Linked DNA regions of Notamacropus eugenii. The protein of the gene in region 1 interacts with the protein of each later gene in a pairwise test. Links are inferred from orthologs where the notes say so. Each region holds a gene or a part of one and is shown in the gene's direction. Other genes may lie near its edges. The genes, in order: LNX2 and LRRC8E.

Region 1 (8,917 bases):
ACATTTAGTAGAGTATCATGCACATGTTGTTTCCTCCCAGTAGATCATCCATCAGTTGTTTGAGGGATGGGCTTCTTTCTGTCTTTATATAGACAGTGAGTGACAAACAATATGTGCTTAATGAATATAGTCTGAATGGAAACGAATATACCTTGAAATTTAATTCATTGATCTATGTTATGGTACATAGTATAAGGTATGGATCTAAATTTATTTTCTCCAAAAACATTAAACTTATTGATTATGCTTTTCTCATACTTTGACTATTTGCTATTTTTCATGATTCAAATATAGTTTGTTATGAAGTCATAGGTCCAGATCTGGAAGGGATCTCAGAAGTTATTTACTTCAACATCCTCACACAAAAGAAAGGAAACTAAGGCCCAGTGAGGTGAGATGACTTGCCTAAGGTCAAAGAGGTAGCGACAGACATTGGAACCCAGATCTTTTAACTCTTGAGTCCAGTGTCCATTCTTCATGCTCCCACTTCTAGTCACTGCCTTTAGTGGCAAATAGCAATTGTCTGTATTTTTTCCTCTCACATTCTCGTATACAAAATTAAGGTGTTAAGAGTATTGTTGTTTTCATAATCGCTGGGACAACCAAGCATCTTTAGCTCTACAGGGACAAGCAGACACTCCTCCCAGGAGACTGTAAACTCCCTGATGGATGGATGGTCCCTATATCTATTCCCAGACAACAGGAGGCACTTAATATTTGTTGATTGATAATCAGATCTACAAAGTCTAGTACCTAGTAGAACCTCCTTCTAACAAAGTCAAAGCTACTTATCTTCTGTTATGTGGCATCCTAATAACATGATGTTACCTATGAAATTGGGAGTGGGGAGGAATAAGCATAATAATAATTATAATAAGGTGAATATGTGCCAGGCACTCTGCTAAGGGCTTTTTACAAATATTATCTCATTCGTTCTTCACAATAACTCTGTGAGGTAGGTGCTACTAATATCTTACATTTGAGGAAATTGAGGCAAACAAAGGTTAAATAATTTGCCCAGGATCACAAAACTAGTTAAGTGTTTAAGGATGGATTTGAACTCGTCTTCCTGACCCCAGGCCCAACATTCTATCTACTTTGCCATAACCTGCCTGACTTAATATGTGACTTGGTGAGATATTAGGTTGTTGGGAGCTCTGGGAGGAAACTCTCAATGCTTGCTTCTTAACAAAACCTAATGTGCTTCCTTACCTTTACCACTGAAGGCAGAACAACGATAAAGGCTTGATATTCATCTAATATGTCAATGTCTTATCACTCATCAGGATTGTATTAATAGACCTTGTTCTCAGTGGATGGAATTAGATGGACCCATTTTTTGCTTTGGCAAACTATACACAAGCAAGCAAATTACAAGATGGAGGGTAGAGCCTAGCTTTGTTATAGAAATAGAACAATAAAGGTATAGAAATATCAGTTAAGGGAAACTAGAGGCAGAGATATGCAAGAAAAGAACAAAGAATGTGAGGAATCAGAGAAAGATAACTAAGCATTAACCAAGGAAGGAGGAGGCTAATAAGTTACCATATGGAGGGAATAAAAGCCTTCAAAGTCCAAAGAGTATAGAACTGATTTCCTCAATATTCCAAGGTAGAGTAAGTACTACTTTGGACTAGGTATAGAAACAGGATATAACTAAGAGAAAATCAAGTGTAAGGGGCCAAGCTTCAGTAAGAATCTAGAATGGAGGAAATCATTAAGAACAGTATTGGGGTTTGTTTTTTTTGGCTTGACAAGATACTGGTACATCTTAACAAACTCTGTGTAACTGTGTAAGCTGTGTAACCATAATTTCCCTAAACATGCAATTTTTACCTTAAGATTTCTAACTTAATCATTTGACTAAAAATGGGCTGAGTATAACACTGCAGAACAGAGGTGACTAACAGGTGAACTTGTAGCCTTTCTTCCCCTAAACCTGTAGCCTTTTTCCATCTCTCTCCTGGGCTGGGTCAATTATCATCTCTATCCAGATGACACTCAGCTCTATTTATGAACTATGAGATATTTATGAGATTTAATACATGACAATCATCTGAGATTAAGTAAGTGTAAAAAATACTTCATACAGTGCCTGACAAGCTAGATACTTATTCCCTCCCCCTTTTATTTGTCCAGCCTAGTCTCTCTTATCTTTCCAACTTTCTATTAGACACTTCAAACTGGATGTTCTGTAAACAACTTAAATTTCATATGCCCCAAACTGAAATCATTATTTTTCTCTGTAAGTCCTCCTCCTTCCAAAATTCCTTATTATCATTCAGCACACCACCTTTCTTTGGTCACTCAGGCTCACAACTAAGTTGTCATTCTTGACTCCATTTTCCTTTCATATCCAATCAGTTGTTAATCAAGTCCTGTCACTTCTACTTTTGTAGTATTTCTTGCATATGCCCCCTTCACTCCTCTGACGCTGCCATCACCCAAGGCAAGCCTTTTTTGCCTCACCCCTAGAATAGCTTGCTGGTTGGTCTTCCTGACTCAAGTCTCTGCCCACTTCACTGCATCCTCTACTCAACCAGGCATTTTCACTGGCCGCCTGCCATGGCTGGCTCTCTATCTCTGACTCCTGGTTTCCTTCAAAGTCTCACTTTCTGCAAAAAGTCTTTCTTTAATCACAGTATCTATGATTATGCCCAATTTATTCTTTATGTATCTTACTTGTACATAATTGTCACATTTTCTTTACCCCATTAGACTGTGTGTGGCGGGCTTCTGGAGAACAAGAACTGTCTTTAGCCTTTCTTTGTACCCCCAGTGCTTGACCCATAGGAGGTAAATAAATGCTTGTTGATTGGGAGCAGAGTTAAAGAACAAGGGTGAGCGAGAGTGGTCTGAAACTTCTACCAACCTTCCACCTTCTCCTAGTTCATGCCTCCACAACCCTTCATGCAACATCATTCGAGCAACAAAATTCAACTATCTCTTCCTAAGGCAAAGGTTCTTCACTGTTTTTGTCATGAATCCCCTTTGGCAGTCTGGTGAAGCCTATGGAGCCCTTCTGATGTTTTTAAATAATTAACTACACACAGGATTACACAAGAAAACAATGATACTGAAATACAGTTACCCCAAAATGAACCAAAAAACCACCCAAGTTCTTGGTGGGCCAAAGGAAGAACTCCTGAATTAGTTTTCCCTCTCCCTTCACCCCCCACCCCAATTATCCTTATGGAAGCTATCACAATCATTTTCCCAAGGCATGGCAAGCCTTCAAAGGCCGTTTTCCATATAAAAACCTGAGCCTGGTAGGGACCATACTTTCCAAATATTTCAATCACCAGAAACATGTACGTTGTAGGAGTTAGCTGGAAAGCCATTTATCCACGCAATAAATGCGCACTAGGGTCCATCGGTTCCTTCTGCTGCTTTTTCCACATTCATTCTACTCTGGAATCTCAGGGTGTCCGCGTTTCTCAATAATAAAACCCGAGAGTGAGCCCCACCACTTTTCCCATCTTTCTCCTCCTCCCCTCCCACACGCAGCACTGTGTCCTTTCCCTTTTTTGGGGGGGGGGCACCGATTCTCATTTCCTCTCTCCCTGCCCCCCCTCCAGCCCAGGCTGCCCGTCCCGTCCCGTCCCTTCGCCTCCCCAGGCCCGCACAGGCGGACGCCGGGGCCACAGGCCCCCCGGGGCGTCCTCCCCTCCTCCGCTCAGAACCCGCCGCTGTCCAGACCGTTACCTCTCCAGTTCCTCGTCCTCTTCCATGGCGCGGCCGAGGGCAGCTTCCGGGCTCCTCAGGTGGCGGGGGCGGCCCCAGGGATGTGCCCCATACCTCGGTCCCCGCGGGCTGAGCAGGAAGGAAGGAGGAGCCGGAGGAGGAGCCGCGGCGGCGCGGCGAGGCGAGGACCCGGCCGAGGGGCGGTGCCTCCTGGCGGCTCTGCCCCCGCCCCCGCCCGGGGGAGCGGCCGCCCCTCACCTGGCGAGCCCCTCCCTTTCCGCTAGTCCGCAGAGAGATTTTTTATCTTCTAGCCCGCCCTCCTCTCCCGCCGGCGGGGCCTCCCCCTTTGCTTGGGGTAATCCCCTCTCCTGACCCGGCCTTGCCTCCTCGCTTGGGAGTGGTCTTCTCCCTCACCTGGCGGGATCTTTCCCCCTCCTCCAAAGGCAGGGCTCGTTACTATTCCTATTCCCTGCAGCCGGGCACCTTGGGGGGTACTCAGCCCCCGCCTCAGGTGACCCTCCTCCCCACAAAGCACCTATCCGGGAATGGGCGAGGATCCCCTCCCCCAGGCCTCCACCAGCCCACCCCCAACTGTCTCCCCCGCGCCCGCCCCCCTCCTCGTGGGGAGCCCTGCCGAGGCTCCTCTCCGAAATGCACGCGGACAAGCCGGGGTGGGAATCCCAGCTCGCTTTATCAGCTGCGTCGGGGGCTAAGGAGAGTGTCTGCATGGGTCTCCTGAGGGGATCCGGTCCCTGCCTCGAGGCTCAGCTTGGGCAGTTGGACGAGTCTCGTTTAAGCTTGGGCGGAGACTTGGGGTCTGGTCTCTATCCTTTCTCCTCGGGGCCTGTCCTGACCCCCGAAACCCTCATCTCTTATCAAGATTTGTCTCTTTCCTTTTCCTCTTCTGTCCTCCGTTGGGAATCCCTTCTTTTCCGGAGCCCCGGAGCCCCACACCCCCGTACCTCCTTCCCTTTCCCGTATTGTTCCTTTTCTCCAGCCAGCCTCCCCTTTCCCTTTTCTCTCCCTCAGGTGTTCTTTCCCACGTGCTTGAGCCCTTTCCCTCGTTTCCACCTCCGCCCCTGTTTGCTCTTTTCCCTGCTCCAGCTGTCTTCTCCCATTTCCACATTTCCCCACGCCTTTCCCCACTTGTTCTCCTCCCCCTCACACATGTGACTCTTCCCCCCAGCTGTTCCACTCCCCATGGCCAGAGCCCCGGGGAAGCCTCCGAGCCAGTCTTCTGCAGGGAAATCAGGCAAGTGACGGAGACAGCCCGGGCCAAGGAGCCGGAGGGTGGGGAGGGGCGATCGGAGGGAACAGCGGGGCGGGGCTGACTCACTCTAACCCGGGAGGCTCTGCTGGGTTAGCGCCCCACCCCCTCAGCTCTTCCATAGGGCGAGCCTCTCCCTGCTCCGCCCCCTCCCTGACCTGAGGCGCGTCTGATTGGCTAGAACGGGTGTCGGGTTAGGCGGTTCGGTCGCGGGCGCTCGCCCCCGGGATGTGAGCAAGCAGGGGCGGTTGAGGCGTAAGTGAAGTCTTGGCCGGAGTTTGCTTCTTGCCAGGAATCCCGCGGCTGCGGCGGCGGCGGCTTTTGGTGAAGCGGAGGCGGGTCACGTCTCTTCCCCCCTCAGCCGGCGGAGGCGGCCGAGCGGACCGAGGCTTCCGGAGCGCCGTGCCGCGGTGGGGTAGCCCTCGATTCCCAGGTAAGTAACTTTGGACTGCGCCTCCCGTTTCGCTCCCGCTCGGCGTTCTCGTCGTCGCCTCAGCGGCGGCAGCGACCTTCTGTCTGCCTGCGTGCGGGGCTCAGGTGCCAGCGCCCCGGGGCGGGGGGGAGGAGCGTCCCCGCTGCGCCCCTTTCCCCGGGCACCGCGTCCTCGCGCTCTTCTTGGCGGCTCCTGTCCGAAGGTGGAGGAGGAGGAAGATCTGGAGGACCGTCTCGGACTTGTCCGGACCAGGGCGCGGGGTGGGTGTGGGGCTGGCCCATCTGGCCCCGGGAGGGACGCCCTCGCTGCCGGCGGTGCCCGGCGGGCGCTCCGGGAGAAGTCAGCCTGGGCCAGGCCGGGACCGCGCTTATCCCGGGGTAGGAAGCTGGGGAAGGAGCCCTCGCCTCTCCGTGGGCTGTCGGAGCAACCCTGCTGGTTTCCTCCGGGACGCTGCGGGGAGGTGGTCCCCCACCCCCAGTCCTCACCTGTTGCCTTTTTATCACCTCCCTCTTGGGCTGGCGGTGGAGGTGGAGGAGAGTGGCCCGAAACCTTCCTGCCCAGATCTTATCGGCCCCGAGGAGGGCAGAGGTGGTCCCCGAGCCTTCCGTTAAGAAGTGACACCTCTTCCCACCTTGGATGCCGTAGGTCGAAGACGCTGTACAGTTACCTGTTGAGGCTGAAGGGCAGCGAGCCCAGAGCTGCACGTCTGACGCAAGTCCCCTCACCTTTTTGACTCTGGACAACTCGGGACTCTAAGATGCAGAGGCTTTCCAGCTTTGCACTGGTAGAAATTCCCTCGACTGAGTATTCTAGGACAGGTAACTGGCTGTGAATGCAGAGAAGGTGCTGGTGGGCATCGACTGAGCTCTCTGGTAATAAGTAATTTATTCAAATGGATTCACAGGCCCTGGCCCCTCCTCACCGTGAAGATGGTTCCAGCGCTTATTTTGTAGTAGGTGCTTAATAAATGTTTGTAGAGTGGAATTGAATTTTAGCATTCCAGTTTATGTACTGTTATGAATACAGTTACATACTCTTCTTTCAGGTGCTACTTTTCAGGATCTGTGCATTTTAAAAAACGTGTACCAGGGCTACTTGGAAGTGTATTTTTTAAAAAATAGAAAAATCACAGAACCTGGAAAGGGAGTAGAGTGAAACAGTCTTAGTGCGGGAGAAAGAAACTATTTTAGGCTCCTGTTAGTTGATGCTGGGTTAAAATTGTGAGTTTCAGCCTCACTCTCCATAGCAGCAAAAGCTTACAAATAAGTTTCATCTTCCTAGCTCTTAGAAGGATCAAAAGATTATAGCTGAAAGATACTTAAGAAATCACTCAAATCACTGAGGTCCAAATAGGTAACGGGGTCGCTGTTACACATGGCCTGGGGTTTGTTTTTTTTGTTTTTTGAACCTCAGTGCTCTTACCCCAAGTCTTGCACATATTCTTTGAACCATCCTCATGTACTCCTAGCCAAGAGGATTGGTCAGAAAAGCCATGAGCTGTGGGAGAAAGGGGATGATCTAACCTTATGCCTGCTCTAGCATATTATTACTGTGAAATCAGTGCTTTTCTCTCTATACATGACTCCTTCATCGTTTATTTTCCCTCCCCCTTTTTTAACTGACTGAATTGTGGCTATATTCTCATAGGTTAAATACAAAGCTAGATTTTTATTAATATAATCAGTGACAAGTGATGAGCATATGGAAAAGGCTAGAAAATGTACTCTGAAAGACAATTTCTTCAGACACTTCAAATGTCTACTGTACGTTGGCCACACAGCTAGTGGAGGGAGAAAAGGAGTTTCTATTATTGTTATTTTTTGTCTGTCAAAGACCAGGTAGATCTTGAATAACAAAGTTTTACCTTTTTAGTTCACCTGAGATACACAGACTTTTTTATGAGTGAAATATAGGTCAAGTCTGAACCAATGTAAAATAATGCCAGTTTCTGTCCAAATCCCTTAGAATAGAGTTTATAGACCCATTGATCCTTTTCTCCTGTAGTGAATTTCAGGTTGAATGCTTGAGTTGTTAGTTTTTGTGTTTTTGTGCTTACTATGAAAAACTTTAATCATATAGGCAGCAAGGTGAAATAGATTAGAAGAGAGTTACTGTAAAATCCAATTTATCTAGAGTAATTGGGGGAATGGGGTCAGGATTCTGCATGATTCTGTGTTGGGAATGGTAAGAACACCCCTCTTTCTAGATGGATGACCGGTGGCAAGTTGATTAACCTCTCTAAATGTCAAGTCTGTTCATTTGTAAAATAGAATTGTACAAATATACTGGGCTTTTTTGGTGAATAAAGTATCTTTTTAACAAAATATTATATAAATGCATTTATTACAAGCACACATCCTCTCTGTAGCTTCTAGACTTAAAGAGTTCCTAAAGCATTGAGAGGTTAACCCTCAGGTCATGGCACAAGCCAGCATGGGTCAGAGGTGAGACTTGAATTTGACTTGGCTTCCTGGCAGCTCTCTACCCATGCTGCCTCTACCAGTTTTCACATATTTTTATAATGGAAATTTAAAGGACATTTATTTTGTTTCTTCTTCACATAACCTTAGTATTCTCTCAACTACTTCTTAACTAGGACTGTCTCTGTTTTTGCAGATGGGAATACTGAGGCTCCAAGAAGTTAACTTGCCTATGGTCATTTAGCTAGTAGGTGTCAGAACCAGGTTCAAGTCTCTCCTAACCCCTAATTCTCATGTCTTTCCAGAATTTAAAATACAATAAAGTACAGTAATAAGTGTAAACTATTGTTTAATGATTTACACTTAATGTAAAATACCATGACTATAAATCCAGAATTAGACTACATTTGTATTTTCCTGATAATTGATGTATACTTTAAAAAATAAATCCCCGGTGTCATCTCTTCGCTTATTTGCTTCTTTTCTTATAGAAGTTCAAACTATTGGAAAAAAAATTTTTTTAAGCTTTCTGATGGTTTGAATTTTGAATAAGAGGGAGTGTTCTGAAGTAGCCTATATGGGTTTTGTTTCCAGAATTACCTTAATAATATAGTCTTTGAAGTCTTGATAAGAATTGTTGAAAGAAGTATGGTGAGTGGTTAAGTACTGTCTGTTATTACTGGCAGGGTTTAATTAAATACAATTTACACATCTCTAATTGCTTTTGCCCAATTTCACAGAATCTGGACTTTTGATGCTGATAATGAGCGTGGGAGAATTTTGTGGAGGAAAAAGAAAATTTTGTATTTTTCACTCAGAAAGGGAAAAGATAGTATGTGAGGAGAAAATATGCAAATAAGTAATGCATATAATGCAGGCATATCATAGTATTTCAGCAGATCCATGATCTCCTCTGTTGTAATTGCTACTTCCAGTAATGCATAACCCATTCATCATACCTTCTTGACATGTGCAACCCTTTATCCATGTCCTTCTGTAAATCCTTCCGTGGTTGTTCACTCAGTGTGCTTGGGTGCTGGGCTTTTTCTGCAAATCTCTTGCCAGTTCTTAAAGCCCAAGGAAGACCTTCAAGCTCTCTACCGGTTAATTATG
Region 2 (8,349 bases), on another chromosome or scaffold:
GCAAAAGAGGTTCAAAAAGCCAATGAGGAGAAGAATGCTTTCAAAAGCAGAATTAGCCAAATGGAAAAGGAGATTCAAAAGCTCACTGAAGAAAATAGTTCTTTCAAAATTAGAATGGAACAGATGGAGGCTAATGACTTTATGAGAAACCAAGAAATCACAAAACAAAACCAAAAGAATGAAAAAATGGAAGATCATGTGAAATATCTCATTGGAAAAACAACTGACCTGGAGAATAGATCCAGGAGAGACAATTTAAAAATTATGGGACTACCTGAAAGCCATGATCAAAAAAAGAGCCTAGACATCATCTTTCATGAAATTATCAAGGAAAGCTGCCCTGAGATTCTAGAACCAGAGGGCCAAATAAGTATTCAAGGAATCCACAGATCACTGCCTGAAAGAGATCCAAAAAGAGAAACTCCTAGGAACATTGTGGCCAAATTCCAGAGTTCCCAGGTCAAGGAGAAAATATTTCAAGCAGCTAGAAAGAAACAATTCAAGTATTGTGGAAACACAATCAGGATAACACAAGATCTAGCAGCTTCCACATTAAGGGATCGAAGCGCGTGGAATAGGATATTCCAGAAGTCAAAGGAACTAGGACTAAAACCAAGAATCACCTACCCAGCAAAACTGAGTATAATACTTCAGGGGAAAAATTGGTCTTTCAATGAAATAGAAGACTTTCAAGCATTCTTGATGAAAAGACCAGAGCTGAAAAGAAAATTTGACTTTCAAACACAAGAATGAAGAGAAGCATGAAAAAATAAATAGCAAAAAAAATTAAAGTCAGGCAAGTGGAAGCTAATGATTCTATGAGATATCAAGAATCAGTCAAACAAAACCAAAGGAATGAAAAAACAACAATGTAAAATACCTCATTGGAAAATAGATCCAGAAGAGACAATTTAAAAATTATGGGACTACTTGAAAGTCATGATTAAAAAAAAGAGCCTTGACACCATCTTTCAAGAAACTATCAAGGAAAACTTCCCTGATATTCTAGAACCAGAGGGTAGAATAAATATTGAAGGGAAGGACAAAAGATCTATCAAAAATATCAAGGGAATCAATGAAAAAAATATGAAGAAAGGTGGCTTGGCAATACCAGATCTCAAATTGTATTACAAAGCAATAATCATCAAAACAATTTGATTACTTGCTAAGAAGTAGAGTGGTAGGTCAATGGAATAGATTATGTACACAATATAGAGTAATAAATGGCCATAATAACATAATGTTTTATAAACCCAAAGATCCAAGCTTTGGGGACAAGGACTCACCATTTGACAAAAACTACTGGAAAAACTGGAAAGCAGTTTGGCAGAAATTAGGTATAGACCAGCATCTCACACTGTATACCAAGATAAGGTAAAAATGGGTACATGATTTAAACAAATAGGGTCCTGCCATAAGCAAATTGGAGGAGCAAGGAATAGTTTACCTGTCAGATTTCTGTATAAGGGAAGAATCTGTGACCAAACAAAAAACAGAGAGCATCACAGAATGCAAAATGGATAATTTTGATTACATTAAATTAAAAGGATTTTGCACAAACAAAACCAATGAAGCCAAAGTTAGAAGGAAAGCAGAAAACTGGGGAAATTTTACAGCAAGTTTCTCTGATAAGGGCTTCATTCATCAAATACATAGAGAACTGAGTCAAATTTATAAGAACATAAGATATTCCCCAATTGATAAATGGTTGAAGGATATAGACAGGCAGTTTTCAGATGAAGAAAGTCAATTGGAAAAAATGCTCCAAATCACTATTAATTAGAGAAATACACATTAAAATAATTCCAAGGTACCACCTCACACCTATCACATTGGCTAATAAGAAAGAAAAGGAAAATGACAAATGTTGGAAGGAATGTGGGAAAGTCTGAATACTAATGCACAGTTGATGCAGTTGCAAATTGATTCAACCACTCTGGAGAGCAATTTGGAACTATGCCCAAAAAGCTATAAAATTGGGCCTATCCTTTGACCCAGCAACAAGTCTATATCCCAAAGACATTTTTTTTAAAAGAAAAAGGATCTATATGTGCCAAAAAAATTTATAGCAGTTTTATGGTGGCAAAGAATTGAAAATTGAGGGGTTACCCATCAATTGGGGAATAGCTGAACAAGTTGTGGTATGATTGTGATGGAATACTATTGTGCTATAAGAAATGAAGAGAAAGATGCTTTCAGAAAAAGACATGAACTGATACAAAGTGAAATAAGTAGAACCAAGAGAACTTTGTACCCAGTAACGGCAATATCATACAATGATCAACTGTGAATGACTTAGCTATTCTCAGCAATACAATGATCTAAGATAATTCCAAAGGACTCATGATAGTAAAAATGCTATCCACCTCCAGAGAAAGAATGGTAGAGTCTGAATGCAGATTGTGATAGAGTCTGAATGCAGATTGAAACATACTTTAAAAAAAACTTTATTTTCCTTATTTTGGGGTGGTGTTTTTTTTGGTCTTTGTTTTTTTTTTCACAAGATGACTAACGTGGAAATATGTTTTGCATCATTGCACATGTGTAATCTACATGAAATTGAGGACAGAATTTGGATCTTGAAAATTTTAAAAAACAGATGTTAAAAATTTTTGCACATAATTGGAAAAAAGCATTAAAAAATTTATTAATTGTCAATGTGCTAAGTGCTGGGGATACAAAAAGAGGCAAAAGATTGTTCCTGCCCTGGAGGAGTTTACACTAGGAAAGAAAACACGAAAACAAATACATTCAAAGTAAGCTACAAATAGGGTAAATAGGACATATATAACAGTGGAAAGGCACTGGAATTAAGAGGGGTTGGTAAAGACTTCCAATAAAGGAAGGGATTTTAGCTGGCTCTTAAAGGAAGCCAGGGAAGTCTGTAGTTGGAGTAGAGAAGGGAGAGCATTCCAGGCATGTAGAAGAGCTGGAGAAATTGCCTAGAGCCAAGAGAGGGAATGCCTTGTTTGTGGAATAGCCAGGAGGCCAGTGTCACTGGATCGAAATGAAAGTATTGGGAAGCAAGGTATAAGAAAACTAGAAAGGTAAGAAGGATCCAAGTTACAAAAGGATTTGAATACCAACCGAAGCATTCTGTATTTGCTTTTGGAGGCAATAGGAAGCCATTGAGGTTGATTGAGTAAGAAGGTGACATGATTAGATCAAAGTTTTAGAGAAATCATTTTAGTAGCTGAATGAAAGACAGAGTGGGGAGAGACCTGAGGCCCGCAGAACCCCTCCCTCCCCCAGTAGGCTGTTGTAATAATCAAGGCTTGAGGTGATGAGGGCTTGCACAAGAGGGGTGGCAGCATCAGATGAGAGAAGGGGAGAGTAGTGGAAATCTCCAATTTCCACAGACTTAGGTGTCTGTGCATTTTCTAAGCCTCCTCAGCTTCTTTACTTTTCAATGGGGGGAGAAGAGGGAAAATGTGGCAAAAAAAAAAAAAAATGATAAAAGTGTAAGAGAGATGAGAAGAGAAGGAGAGGTTGTGGCCTGTGAGTCACAGTGCCTCAGGTGAGCTAAGGACTCAAAGGACTGACCTCTTATGCTCAGCTCACCTAACCTGACATCCCCTGATTGAGCTCTTTGCTAGCTCTCCGTTCAGCCAGCTTACCCTCTTTAGGAACAGACAGGGAAGATAGATATAGTTTAAGTGAAGCTAGGTAGGACAGGATCCCTGGGAGACAGGAGAGCTCCAGCTCAAGTCCTTGTTCAGGTCCCAATGCCTGGAGCCCTTCCTTTGAACCCTCCTTTTTCTGCCTGCTGGTGACCATAGAGGCTCCACTGGTCAGAGGGAAGAACGGACATAGGTTAGTTACTGTCTGCTCCCTCTTATCAGAATCTATGTCCAGGTTTACTCATCAGAAGCTCTCTTCTCTCTTTCCAACCCTTGGGTTAACTAGCCTTTTAAGATCCTACATTTCCTCTTCCCCAATTTTTGTTCTGAGCCGGATGAGCCTGCAGGACTGATGTGAAAGGAGTGGAACCCCTTGGGCTGGCCATGTAGTTTCCCTGCAGCTATTGGACATAACCACTACCCCCTGGAGGAGTGGCTGGATGAGGGTTCTAACTCCCTTGGTGCTGACTCCCTAATATTCCCTCTTCTGGATTGGTCTGGGGATTGGTTGGCTGAGGGGAAATCATTAAAGGACCCCACTTCTTTCCCTCTCCCTTAGCTGGAACTGCTGATCTGGGGAGAAGAGAAGGAAACGCTAGACAGTCGGGAGGCAGGGTGCCTGAATCTTTTTTTCCCTTAGAATGACCTGTTAAGTGCCTAAGGCTTAGTTTCCCCTGAAGGTCCAGTACAAAGTCCTACAGGACAGTCATCTAGCTTCCTTTGAGGCTGACCTCAAATGACTGGCTCTGTCCCCAGAGAACCCAACTACGTTGCCCAGTTTAGAAGACTCCCCTGATTTGCTTGAAAGCCCAGACATTTGAATCCTGGTACCCTCCGCCTCAGTTTCCCTTTCCCTCCAGTCTCTGGCCCGAGTAGGGCTGGGGTGAGGGGCGGGACCAGGTGGGCGGAGCAGCTCCGGCTCCTCAGCTCCAGCGGCCACGCCCGACTTGACTCACCCGCCCGGCCCCGGTGCTGCTCGGGACGTCCGGAGGAGACCGGAGCGCATTCCCCGAGAGCTGGGACTGAGTCACTGCTGCACCGGCGGGTGAGTCAAACGAGGGGTCTGTTCCTAGAGCAGATTCAGTTCTGAGAATGGGGATCTATCCCGGCAGGGGAATCCCCTCGGAGGACGGGGATCTGTCCGGAAGGCTAGGGATCTGGACCAGGAGAATGAGGCTCTGTCCCGAGAGCTTGGCGGGAGGGAGTTGTCCCTGTACGGGGAGGAGGACCTGCTGGGAGAACGGAGGTCTGTCCCGAAGGCTGGGGAGCTGCACCTGGAAATCGAGGACTAGTGTGGAGAGCGAGGGGAGAGTGGGAATTATCCCCCCGACAGGGAGATCTGCTGGGACAGTTGAGCTGCGTACGCCACCACACACAGTCTGCCGGGAAAAGAGCGAGATCTACCCCCGGGCAATTGTCGGTGCCATTGAGGCTGAGCCCCTGAACTGGGGGTGGGGGGGAGAAAAGAGCTGAGAGAAGACTTATTCGGGATTCCCTCCTAGTCCCGACCTCTTTTACCCTAAACCCCAGTCCTCATAGATCCTGTTATGGGGCCCAGTCCAGATCTCTTCTACTCTGAGCCCCTGTCACCATAGACGGTCCCCTGACTTATGAAGCGATTGTTTCCCTATCCAGACCCCAGACCCCAGGCCCTGAGATTCCAGTTTCAAAATCCCAATTCCTATTCCTCGATTTTTGACTCCTATCTCTCCAGTCAGCTTTGAGATCCTCAGTCCTCAGCATATTGACACTCCACTATCCTGTCCTTTGGACTAGCCTGTGATTTGGCCAATTAACAAATATTTGGGTGTCTGCCTTCTAGGGATTTCCAATCTCCTAGAAGAGTTAAGACAAGGTTGAAGATAGCTAATCCATAATGAATCCAGTATCATAGGGCAGAGGCCAAGATCTCTAGCCAAAGAATAGGTAGGGGCTGTCTGCTCAGATAGAGCTGGAATGGTCTGGGAAGGCTTCCCACAGGTGAGTCTTGGGTCAAGCACTGAAAGCCCAAGATGGAGAGGATTTATAGAACAAAAGGGGGAAGGACATCTAGAAAAAGGGGTGACAGAGCAAAGGTTAGGGCAGACGAATGAGGAGGGGATGGTGCTTGGAGCAGAAGGAGACATGACCTTGCAGGGGTAGGTTGGGGCCAGTTAGAAGAACATCTCAAGTACCCACTGCAGTGCCTTTTTTTCCCCTCTAGGGTGGGAAAGCCATGGAAAGTCAGGGCAGGGACATGGTCAGACCTGGACTTTAGGAAGATACTTGGTAATTTATGCCAGAAATATCATCTAGAGGTGAGGCAAGAGATGGAAGGGAGGCTGGTCAGGAGGCCATTGTCAGGTAAATGAAGTGCATGCGTCCCCTGGCTTCTCTTTTCTGTGACCTTCCTGTCCCCATCTACTCTGCCTCAGGCATCCAGGGCTCAAATCTTCCCTTACAGATCTGATCTTAGGAAAAGAACAGATGAATCTCTTTGACAAAGGAGTCAGTGACTGAAATGACTGGCTAGGGGACCCTCCCACATATTGGCATTTTGTCAGGGTTAAATGCCTTCAAAGGAATGAAGTCCTGATGATGGGATATCAGGCCTTCCTCAGGGGTCCAGAGCCTGCTTTGAAGTGTCTGAAATCACCGTAGGTCATAGGGTAGATGCTGCCCATCACTTGAGAATTCATTGCTTAGAGGTCTATTATCCTTGGGCCCTTCCACCAGAATCGTTTTCAGACAATGTCCTTGCGCGTGGAGACAGTCATGTGTCTATGGGGGCTTAATGATAGGTTTGGGACCACAAAGTTAGAATTAAAGACAGACAGAGATAATGACAATTCCATGTGTCTGCCAATCTATATGCCACTCTACATTTGGGGCTCTGTCTGGGACTGTGTGTGTTTTTGTGTCCATCTGTCTGGAATGGATTTCTTGTCTGATGTTGTTCATCTCTGCCTCTGTTTATCTGTACCTCTCTGTGTTTGTGACTAGGATTGTGTCTGTCAGTATTTAAGAGAGACTGGTGGGTTGGTGACTATTTCCCTGGGTTTGCTCAATATTTCTATGTGAGCCTGTAACTGAGTAACCAACGATGAGTAAGACTGGGTCTACTGTGATTGTGTATCTATCTGATTGGGTGTTTGAGATGCACGATGGGGACTGGGATTCTTCCTCAGTATTTGTCTTTCTTGAGTACATTTCTAAGATTTTCTCTGACATGGTAGGAACTGATGCAGAAACAAGGGCTTTGTGACCTAAGCTTATCGATAAGTGGTGCATTGGATTTAGTTAGGTGTTTTTTTTTGAGGGGGGTTGTTATTTTTGTCCATCTTTCATTCTCAAAGAGGACAAATGATATGACTTTTGGGGGGGTGGAGGATGGGAGAAGATTTGATGTTGGCTGTGGAAAGTGAGACTTACAGTGATAGACATAATTAGGTGTTTAACAAATGACTTCCATGCTGATCTGCTGTGAAAACCAGAACAATTCAAAATATATTAAGCTCCTACTAAGCACCTCTCTTAGGGACTGGAGGATGTGGAGAAATAATATTGCTTGCTCTTAAGGAGGTGATATTCTATGTTAGGGGACACGATGTGAACAAAAATATTTATAGGACAAGGAAAACGGAGGAGCAAGGTAGAATCAAGGAAGACCTTGGGGAGGAGGGGATGGAACATCAATTGAGTCTTGAAGGGACCGTGAGGTTGAGCAGGGAGGGCCTTCCAGGCATGTGTCATGTGAAGAGTGCCCAGAGACAAAATTTGGATCAGGGAGGATGATCCCTAGAGCTACATCCAGGAAAATCGACAGTCTTTCTGTTTGACAAGAACTGATCATTGGTGAAGGGGAGTCCTATGAAAAAAGATTGGAAAGGAATGTGGGAGCCAGATTGCAGTGGGCTTTAAGCAGTTTGTCACTAGAGATAGGCAGCAGAGGATTATAAAGTTTAGAACAAGGAGAGTGGCAGTGTGGGGCTAGAGGACCAAGGAGTCATGACCCTCTGACCCCAGGTCTTCTATCAGCACTGCCAAGAATATGTCTGTGCAAATGCACTTACACTTTTCTGTTAACACAAATATGCCTACATTTGTGTGTATGCTCTGCAGGCCTATGGTCATGTGGATGTTTCTGTTTTGGTATGTTTTCATGTACCACAAGCAAGCCTGGGTATGGGCGTGTCTGAGTGGGTATGTATCAGTATATGCCAATATCACTGACTGTGAATATATCACTATTTCTGTGTATGTATGTCTGTAACTTGGTTATCGTACATGGAACTGGGCCTCTGACAATAACTTTGGGTGTGTCAGTATGTGTGTGTGTCACTGTATGAGTCAGGATGTCCTGATATATGTGTGTACATGAATGGAGGGTACATGTGAATAAAGACAGGAATGAGCCTGCCTCCATTAGAGTACACACAATCATGCACATATTAAGTAGACGTGTGTGTGTGTGTGTTTGATAGGGCAGACTGATTTGTGAAGACGTAGACATAAGGGTATGATCACTGGCCAAACATCCTTAGACATTGTTTTTGTGCAGGAGCATGCCAGGGCTCAGAGACTGCAAACATCAGTGATACTGACTGGGACTTGGGGATGATCAGCAGGGTTTCATCAGTTCCTTCAAAAGGGAGTTGGTGAGAGTTTAAAGTGGAAACCTAATCTGGAACCCAGGGGTCTTCTATCTCCAACTCCCCAAATGAATTCTGGGCCCAGGGCTAGGCAGACA

The links.
Region 2: the proteins of LNX2 (region 1) and LRRC8E interact in a two-hybrid assay, tested with the Homo sapiens proteins (3 studies listed by BioGRID and IntAct). The link is inferred for Notamacropus eugenii from reciprocal best matches to the Homo sapiens genes LNX2 and LRRC8E.

The regions. Positions count from the first base shown.
Region 1 is NC_092876.1:195,754,041-195,762,957, reverse strand, and holds the start of LNX2 (ligand of Numb protein X 2), read left to right. Parts: upstream 1-5,245; 5' UTR 5,246-5,384; intron 5,385-6,029; 5' UTR 6,030-6,202; intron 6,203-8,917. Other genes in the region: protein POLR1D, read right to left, coding at 4,099-4,412.
Region 2 is NC_092875.1:51,718,994-51,727,342, forward strand, and holds the start of LRRC8E (volume-regulated anion channel subunit LRRC8E), read left to right. Parts: upstream 1-4,579; 5' UTR 4,580-4,665; intron 4,666-8,349. UniProt on the Homo sapiens protein: Non-essential component of the volume-regulated anion channel (VRAC, also named VSOAC channel), an anion channel required to maintain a constant cell volume in response to extracellular or intracellular osmotic changes.